Neurospora crassa OR74A: one gene and its partner. The protein of the gene in region 2 interacts with the protein of the main gene of each other region in a pairwise test. Links are inferred from orthologs where the notes say so. Each region holds a gene or a part of one and is shown on either strand. Other genes may lie near its edges.

The links.
Region 1: the proteins of NCU03702 (region 2) and NCU02528 interact in a two-hybrid assay, tested with the Saccharomyces cerevisiae proteins (2 studies listed by BioGRID, with this or other methods). The link is inferred for Neurospora crassa OR74A from reciprocal best matches to the Saccharomyces cerevisiae genes NOP1 and PXR1.

What each region holds. Positions count from the first base shown.
Region 1 is NC_026501.1:2,635,317-2,639,159, reverse strand, and holds NCU02528 (hypothetical protein), read left to right. Parts: upstream 1-1,286; 5' UTR 1,287-1,400; coding exon 1,401-1,423; intron 1,424-1,490; coding exon 1,491-2,556; intron 2,557-2,626; coding exon 2,627-2,647; 3' UTR 2,648-3,096; downstream 3,097-3,843. Other genes in the region: NCU02529 (hypothetical protein), read right to left, coding at 251-509, 619-731, 824-967; NCU02527 (hypothetical protein), read left to right, coding at 3,162-3,250, 3,787-3,843. UniProt on the Saccharomyces cerevisiae protein: Involved in rRNA-processing at A0, A1 and A2 sites through its action in U18 and U24 snoRNA 3'-end final trimming. Negative regulator of telomerase through competition for binding to EST2 with TLC1.
Region 2 is NC_026505.1:2,139,330-2,143,801, forward strand, and holds NCU03702 (rRNA methyltransferase NOP1), read right to left. Parts: upstream 2,918-4,472; 5' UTR 2,631-2,917; coding exon 2,516-2,630; intron 2,280-2,515; coding exon 2,219-2,279; intron 2,157-2,218; coding exon 1,922-2,156; intron 1,861-1,921; coding exon 1,535-1,860; intron 1,477-1,534; coding exon 1,310-1,476; intron 1,249-1,309; coding exon 1,181-1,248; 3' UTR 365-1,180; downstream 1-364. Other genes in the region: NCU03703 (60S ribosomal protein L17), read left to right, coding at 3,171-3,173, 3,362-3,575, 3,778-3,965, 4,058-4,213.

The DNA of each region.
Region 1 (3,843 bases), on a different chromosome or scaffold from region 2:
TCCTCATTCTGTTCTACTTGTTCTCTTTTCTCAATCCAGAGCATACGAGATTACGACCCGAGGCCACTGTGCCCGTCAAATGCGACCACCCAACACACAGTGACGAATTCATTGTCACCATCATCGAGTTCAGCACAAAGCGTTAGCAGCCTCCCACTCCTCCCTCATACCAATCTTCACCATCAGCAGCCGCCGATTTTGATGAAGCTTCCTTCGAGACCATGAATCCCTGCGCACCCTCAGGCAGCAGCTACTGGCCCGACAACCTGTCCACCTCAGAAGTAGCAGCAGCACCAGCACCATCCTCCGCAGGCTTCTCAGGCTTGGCACGGGGTAACATAACAGCCAAGTCTTTTCGACGACCCTCGTACAAGGCGCAGAGCTGGATACTGTGGTTGCTCATGATGCGCTGCACATCGGCCAGCTTCTTGGCAATGGCGGTCTGCTTTTGATCGCTGGCTTCTACTGCTTCCTTGAGTCTTAACAGACGGGAGATGTGCATGGCTGAACTGCAAGTACCATGGATAAACTACAATTAGAACAACAGTGGAAGGGCGAAATATTCTTTTAGAGAACGCGCCATTGGGACAAAGTGAGCGGTCTACCGGTTCAACTTACTGGAGATCATGGTACTTGGAAACTGACTTCCTTACGCGGTCTTGGATGGACGTGAGCGCGCCTTGATAGGCTGAGAGCAAGGCCTTGCGTTTCTTATCGCGCTCTTCTCTCGCCTGAAATTAAAAGAAATCAAGAAGTGAACTAAATGAATGCTTCGCTCACAGGAACCGTATTTTTGCTCGTTGTTGTTGATTGATGTTCATACCTTTTTGAGACGTGCTCTAGCCGCGCTGGCTTCCTGAAGTCGCAAATTGTATGCTTGGTAGTCGTCGTCGGAACCAGAATCGTCAAGTACGGTGTTAGTCGACTTTCGTTGCCTGGACTTGGCGGTGCTCGCCGAGGGTGCCATGTTTGCTCCAGGGTGTTTCCCTTGAACGTAGTCTTTTAAACAGTTCTAGTATTGGGCCAAAGACTGAATCATAATTGACAACTTGAGAAGGAGAAGTGTCAGATGAACAGAAGGAAGTTCGTCCAAATCTCACGATCGATTGATGTCCCCGGAAGTCGGCAGGCAAGTGTTTTCTCCACAATTATATCTGGAAGGAGCAAGTGACAGGCACCTCCCCTGCAGCAATGAACCGTAGTTCCTGAACTGTGTGGAATTTTCGGGCGGTGAAAGCTGGCAGATCTTTGATGGGATCGCAAGGCCCCCGCCAAAAAATTGAATGCCGTAGCACAGACAGGGCGCCCCGATTTCCGAAAGTTCAGTTGTACACCAAGCCCATTGACCTTTGACGACTCAGCACACAAGCTGAGAGCCTCGTCAACGACGTCGAGCAATCATGGGCCTCGCCGCTGCCAAGAAGTGAGCGCATATCTTGAGTGGCTGTGCTCCCTTTGTTGACTGCGTGCTAATCACGAAACTTCAATAGCAAGCGCAAACTGGGAACCGACCCCAACAACACGAAATGGTCCCGTAACGAAACCACTTTTGGCCAAAAAATCCTCCGCGCCCAAGGTTGGCAGCCCGGCGAGTTTCTGGGCGCCAAAGATGCTGCGCATGCCGTACATCACACGGAAGCCAGCTCGTCACACATCAAGGTCACGCTCAAGGACGACAACCTCGGTCTCGGCGCGAAACGAAACAATGGCGACGAGTGCACCGGCCTCTTTGATTTTCAACATCTCCTCGGGCGACTGAACGGCAAGAGCGAGGATGTTCTGGAAGCCGAAAAACAGAAGCGCGAGAATCACATCCGCAACCACTATCTGGAACAAAAGATTGGAACGATCCGCTTTGTCAGAGGCGGCTGGTTGGTTGGTGACGTGGTCAAGGAAAAAGTGACGGAAGAGGACGGCGTACCACAGAGCGATACTGTCGACCAACAAGTGGAGACAGTTCCCTCTCAGGACACCAAGGACGCCGAGCCCACAAAACGCAAATCCAAGAAGAGGAAGGCGGACAGCGACGAGGAAGACGAGAAGGAAGAAAAGAAGGACAAGAAAGTGAAGAAGCGGAAGACCGACACCGAAGCCGAAACAGACAGCGAGTCCTCCAGGTCAAAGAAGAAGGAGAAGAAGGACAAAAAAGAGAAGAAAGACCAGAAAGAAAAGAAGGACAAGAAGGACAAGAGGAAGCTGAAAGACGCGAAACAGTCTGAAGAGAGCTCTTCAGATGACCTAGAGTCGTCTGCTACGGAGACCAAGAAGTCGAAAAAGGACAAGAAGAAAGAGAAGAAAGAGAAGAAAGACAAGAAGAAGGATAAGAAAGAGAAGAAGCGCAAGGAAAAGGAGCTATCAGACTCTGCCACAGAAAGTGAAGACAGCAAATCGAAAGCTCAGAAGAGGACGAAAGACGGTGCTGAAATAGAGACGAGCACACCAGGTGGAAGCGGCACTTCCACGCCTACTGTTACATCTTCAACCCGATTCTTGGCTAGGCAAAGGTTCATTGCGCAGAAAAAGATGGCTTTCACGGACAGCGCTGCTCTCAACCAGGTCAGTATATCAACTCTGGTGAAATTCCCCGTTCTTTGAATGTCATCACTAACTAGGCCTATGTTCGCAGATTTTCATGATCAAGTCATAGAAAAGAATTGATGTGGTCGGTTGGGAAGCCTTCTTATGCTGCGTATTAGTTTCTTTTGTTCCACACCTCATCATCGATTTAGCGTTGCTTTTGACCCCAATTCTTCACACACATCATAGCAGCTTGTCTTGTCTAATGCAATTGAGTTGAAGATACCATTGTCATGACTCGACCAGAACCGCCAGTTCCTTCGCCCGTCATCCTGAACCGTGATCCCTCTGCGCAATATATGTTGATATATATCGCGGCTCCTTGACACGTGACTACGGTGCCGTTCACCGCACTTCCATTCTCGAAGTACCTCGGCTGTCGTGGCATTCGAGTTGAGACCGAACTGCTCGTCGACGCCCGGCAGGATGCTTGGGGATACGAAGGCGGGTCGATTGTGCCCATAACATCAGACCAAATGATGAATCTACTTCCTGGTATGATACTTGCGCGATCTTCTCTACGCCCATGTTCTATTATTCTTGGCAATCAGAGATTTGAAAAATTTCCTCATGTTAGATCAGATATGTCTGGTGCCTCTAGCGTTCCAGAGGCCCAGGCGAAGCGATGCTCAACGATCAAGAAAGATATCCAAAATAAAAACGCAGAAGAATGGTAGCACCTGCTCGCTGCGGCTCCATTGCGCCGGTTGATCAGTACTTCGGGCTTCGAACGCGAACTGGTTGCAGACAGTGACACTCACTGTCTGTCGCCTCGCGTCAGGAACCTCGTCTCTTTCGTGCGGAGGAAGTTTGTTCGCGACAACGAAATCCAACGACAGGACATCCACCATACCTCTCCGCTTTCTTCGCAAAACCTAAATTTTACAGTAAGGACGATCACCTTTTTTCTTTTTGCCCATGGAATTCGAAGCCATGATTTGCAGTTGGTTGTTGGTTTTAAGGAACTAAAAAGTACATCCGCCTTTGACGACCACTTTCCAGTTGGCACCCCTCGCCCTTCACTCACCCTTCACTCACCCCATATTCAACCATCTTCGATATCGCAGCGCCCAGCTGACTACTTCTTTCCCCGCACATTCTTCGCTATCCTTAGCACCAACCACCTTTGGCTGCATATTCACATTTCCCGCTGGGCAACATCTGGTGGCTACCTCGAAATCAACTCTGATTTTAGCCCATCGTCCGCAGGTCATCGTCATCGGTGATGGAAAAGAGAACCCAATCAGCACGGCTTCAGCCGCTATC
Region 2 (4,472 bases):
GACAAAGAACATAGGTACCAGACAAGGGGAGGGATAACTTCACGTAATTGATTCAGCCCTCACCCCCGTAGGCTTGCTCACGGCCAACCTTGGCTTCGATACTCGTCGACCAAGATATCCCCGGGACCATAGTAATTATATATCCTTTAGCCTGGCTTGGGCCACAAGTTGTAGAGGTACTTTGGCTTAGTACCCGGTAACGGATCACACTTACACTGTCCGTACTCTCCATTAACGCTGCGCGTCTCGTCCCGGGATATGTTGTCGCCTGAGTTACTTTGTCAGCTCTGATCAACGCCGCAAGCAAACGAGCCAAGAAGATAAGATTTTCAGCGGTGCAAGAGCGCTTAGTACGGGGAAGGTGTAGAGGCAATGGGGTGAGATATCGAAGAGCTAGATAGCATGCAAATCATAGATCAGAGCATATCCAGCATCGAATAAAGCAACAAACAATAAGCTCAAGAAGTAACAAGACCGCCGACAAGGCCGATGATAAGGAGCAAAGATGACCCAAAACTCTGATATGTAAATCTATAGGACTAAGCAAGCTCAAATTTGCTCATCAACAAGCGAAACCAACGGCCCAGCATCCTCTTGATCCTGGATAGACTCTAGGCATGTTTAAATAATCCTCAAAGCCATGTAATGACTGGCTTGCAGTACCCTTGCGTCCCCAGGCCCAAACAATCTCCTTTGAAACTCGAATGGCCAGAATAGTCTCAGTTTTCGACGTGATACCCTGATGAAAGGGGAGGGACTCTCAGTTCGCAGATTTCAAACGCCATAAAGACGAACCAAGCTGTCGAGCATTTTAAGCGCCGATAAAAGCAACCTCTGCTTGACTATCCAGCGCCCTTCTCGTTCTTAGGGTGATTGACTGGTGATCGTTCTTGATGTGTTGTAGGCTGGCCAATTTCGCTGGTGAACAGGAGGTTCGTTGCGCGGTGACTTAGGAGTCGTGACGAGATCGTGAAAGGCGGCGTAAGATGGAAGCAACCGGGGTCACTCCGGATATCAGTCTAAGAACCCTGGTGCTTTATTCCCACAATGCTAAAACAAGGCAGATACCCAAACGCCATTCGCCGTTCCAGATTTACAAAACCATCCTGCCAGTAGAACACCGAATTATGTGAAGGTTCCAGAACAGAGCAACGAAGATAGAACAGTACTAATTCGAAACTCAGTTATCGACGAACTCCTTCTGCTGGTAGACGCAAGAAACCATGGCGTGGTCACGCTCGTAAGGCTCTGTGGGTGATTGTTAGTTATTGTTGGCTCTATCAACCAAAAGGGAAGCGGATGGACGTACCAAGAGTCAACTGCTCCTTGGGGAAAAACTTGTCCTCACGGAGCTTCTGGACCTCAGAGGCGAAGACCTGCTCGGGAGGAGCAGTGGAGTCAATGCAAGAAGCCTTGATAGAGATGAGAAGACCACCACCCTGCTTCAAGAAGAGCTTGGCGTTGATGCCGACAATTCTGAAATGTGTTAGTGTCAGGCACATACAGTGTCAAGGATCTGTATAAGTCGGCTTACCTGGCCTGATCGGGCTGGGCAACATCGGCGAAGATGACATCGACCATGGGGAGCAGCATGCGGTAAGCCATGGGCTTACGGGCATCCTCAACGATGGGGATGACGTTGGTGCGGCGAGTAGCCATGTTGATGAGGTCACGGCCGGAACGGTGAGAGAACTCGACGGCGTAAACGGAACCAGTAGGACCGACGATATCGGCAACGTGAGAGACCGAGGTACCGGAGGCAGCACCGAGGTAGAGGACCTTGGAACCAGGCTTCATATAGATGGTTTCAAGACCACCGAGGATACCGGCAGCAAGCTTCGAACGGAAAGGGTTCCAAATCTGCAAAGTCCAATGTTAGTCTTTGTCTGAGGCCACAAGCTGGAAAGCCTGGAAAACGTACGCGGTACTCAGTCTTGGTGGAAGCACCACCTTCCTCCTTAGAGGCGTTCTCGACAGAGATTCTCTTCTCGCCATAGACGGACTCGCCAGGGACAAGGTTGACGGTAGCGAGGAGATCCTCCTTACCACCACGAGCGACGAAGACGCCCTTGTGACGGTGAGGCTCGACGATGACCTTCTTGCCAGCAGCACCACCCTTGGCGCCACCGCGGGCACCACCGCGACCACGGGTAGCACTATACTCATAATGTCAGTCAATGTCTTTGGAGTAATCAAGGGTTTTGAACACAAGACGTACCCGCCACGGCCACCACCGCGAGGACCGCCACGACCACGGGGAGCACCACCACCACGGCCGCCTGTTAAGTCATTGTCAGTAAAGTGTTGCGTTAATGTGGTTGCTGTTGCCATCGCATGTTGAGTCGAGTTGCGATATGAAGTTCGACTGAAATCGCCATCCTACTACGAGAAGTCAAGAGGCATGCATGGCGACCACGGGCCGCAGCAGACGCAGAGACATCTCTCAAGATGACGAACAGAAGCAACGACATAACCGCAAAGACCATTCAGGCGATGGCATTGAGGCCAAACTCACCACCGAAGCCACCACGGCTACCGCCACGGGCGCCGCCTCTGCCACCACGATCACCACCGAATCCACCACGACCACCGCCACGGGCGCCGCCTCTGCCACCACGCTCGAAGCCCATTTTTATAGAATGTGTCGGTATTGATAAGTCGGAGTCGGTATGAGTTGCGATTCTGGGCCGAAACGCGTTGTAAGATCAGTCGTGCGAGGCACAATGGGTTTAGAGTTGTCGCGCGGCGCTGTCGAGGACTCGGAAAAGAGCTTTTGCTGGAGCTGGGTGCAAAATTTCCTGGACATGGATTGAAAGAAAAAAAAGCGGGGCACGAAGTCTCATCGCTGGAGCACTTTTTTTTCCGGTCGAGGCCTTCTGCCTTTGCAATTGGCTGTCGTCCTGGCGTGGCGGTCGAGGCTCTCCAGTTTGTTGCGGATGCTATCGTGCACGGCCGGCAGTCCAGGAGGCAGGCTGTTATCGGCGCTAGCACTTACTGTCCCCGCGTGCACGTGCCTCAGGCAAAGTGACGGTCCGCACGAGCCACCTGCGCAGTGCCCACAGAGCCCTAATCGCGAAAATCGGTTTTTGTACGCCAAAATTGGAACCCATCACCACCTCTGAACATCACACTTGGTCGATTCCCCGTCCTCTCATCGACAAGCAGGCAAGATGGTGAGTAAATCCCTGCGAAATCCGCCGAACGAGAGAATCGCCGCCGTTATTTTGCTTCAGGACAGTTTTCGGGCTTCTGCAGCCGAAATGACGACGAAAGTCTCAACGGACGACAATGACGGCTTTGCGAGCATTGCGAGCACTTGGAGGAGAGGGAATCGCTGACCGAGTCTTGTTCAAAATCGCAGGTTCGGTACGCTGCGACTGAGATTGCCCCGGCTAAGTCCGCCCGCTCGCGCGGCTCTTACCTCCGTGTCTCCTTCAAGAACACCCGTGAGACCGCCCAGGCCATCAATGGCTGGAAGCTCCAGCGTGCTCAGAAGTTCCTCGAGAACGTTCTTGAGAAGAAGGAGGCTGTCCCCATGAGACGCTACGCTGGTGGCACCGGCCGCGCCGCCCAAGGTACGACTTACTCGATATTTACATGCACAAACACACCCGAACCGGTACATCATGCGACGACGACGACGACAGTGGGGAGGACAAAGTGGCGGGGGAATAGGGGGGCATTGTCAGCATGATGGAACCGCGACCGACCGACACGAAACCGCAATCGAATGGAGGACATAGAAGACACGGTGCTGACCGTTTCTTCGTCATATAGGCAAGCAGTTCGGTGTTTCCCGCGCCCGCTGGCCCGCCAAGTCCGCCGAGTTCCTTCTCGGTCTCCTCAAGAACGCTGAGGCCAACGCCGATGCCAAGGGTCTTGACACTGGCAACCTCGTTGTCAAGCACATCCAGGTCAACCAGGCCCCCAAGCAGCGCCGCCGCACTTACCGCGCTCACGGTCGCGTACGTCAAACCCGGAGATACCCCCCTGATTTCTGCTTCTGCGCCGGCAGATAGACGATCAAGCCGGTCATTGGCTAACAGTTATGTTTTAGATCAACCCCTACATGTCCAACCCCTGCCACATCGAGCTCATCCTCACTGAGGCCGATGAGGTCGTCCAGAAGTCCGAGGCCGTTGTCCGCGAGGAGGCTCACCTTTCCTCCCGCCAGCGTGGCGCTCGCGTCCGCCGTGCCATCACTGCCGCTTAAATGCGCTTTGATAGCTAGGTGATTGGACGAGGGGATGTTTTGATTGAGGGCTTCACTTTTTTTCCGGAACGGTGTACGCGAGCATGGCATTTTTCGGGTCAAGGTCACGATTCCAGGGAAAAAGGGGTCGATCATGAATACTCAATAAAAGAATTTGAGAAAGCATGACACGGCGAAACAAGTAATCATTCAAGCCCTGGCGTAATTGCCAACGGGACGCCAAACCGAACTGCGGGTTACCTGAGCTCTGAGAGTGGCT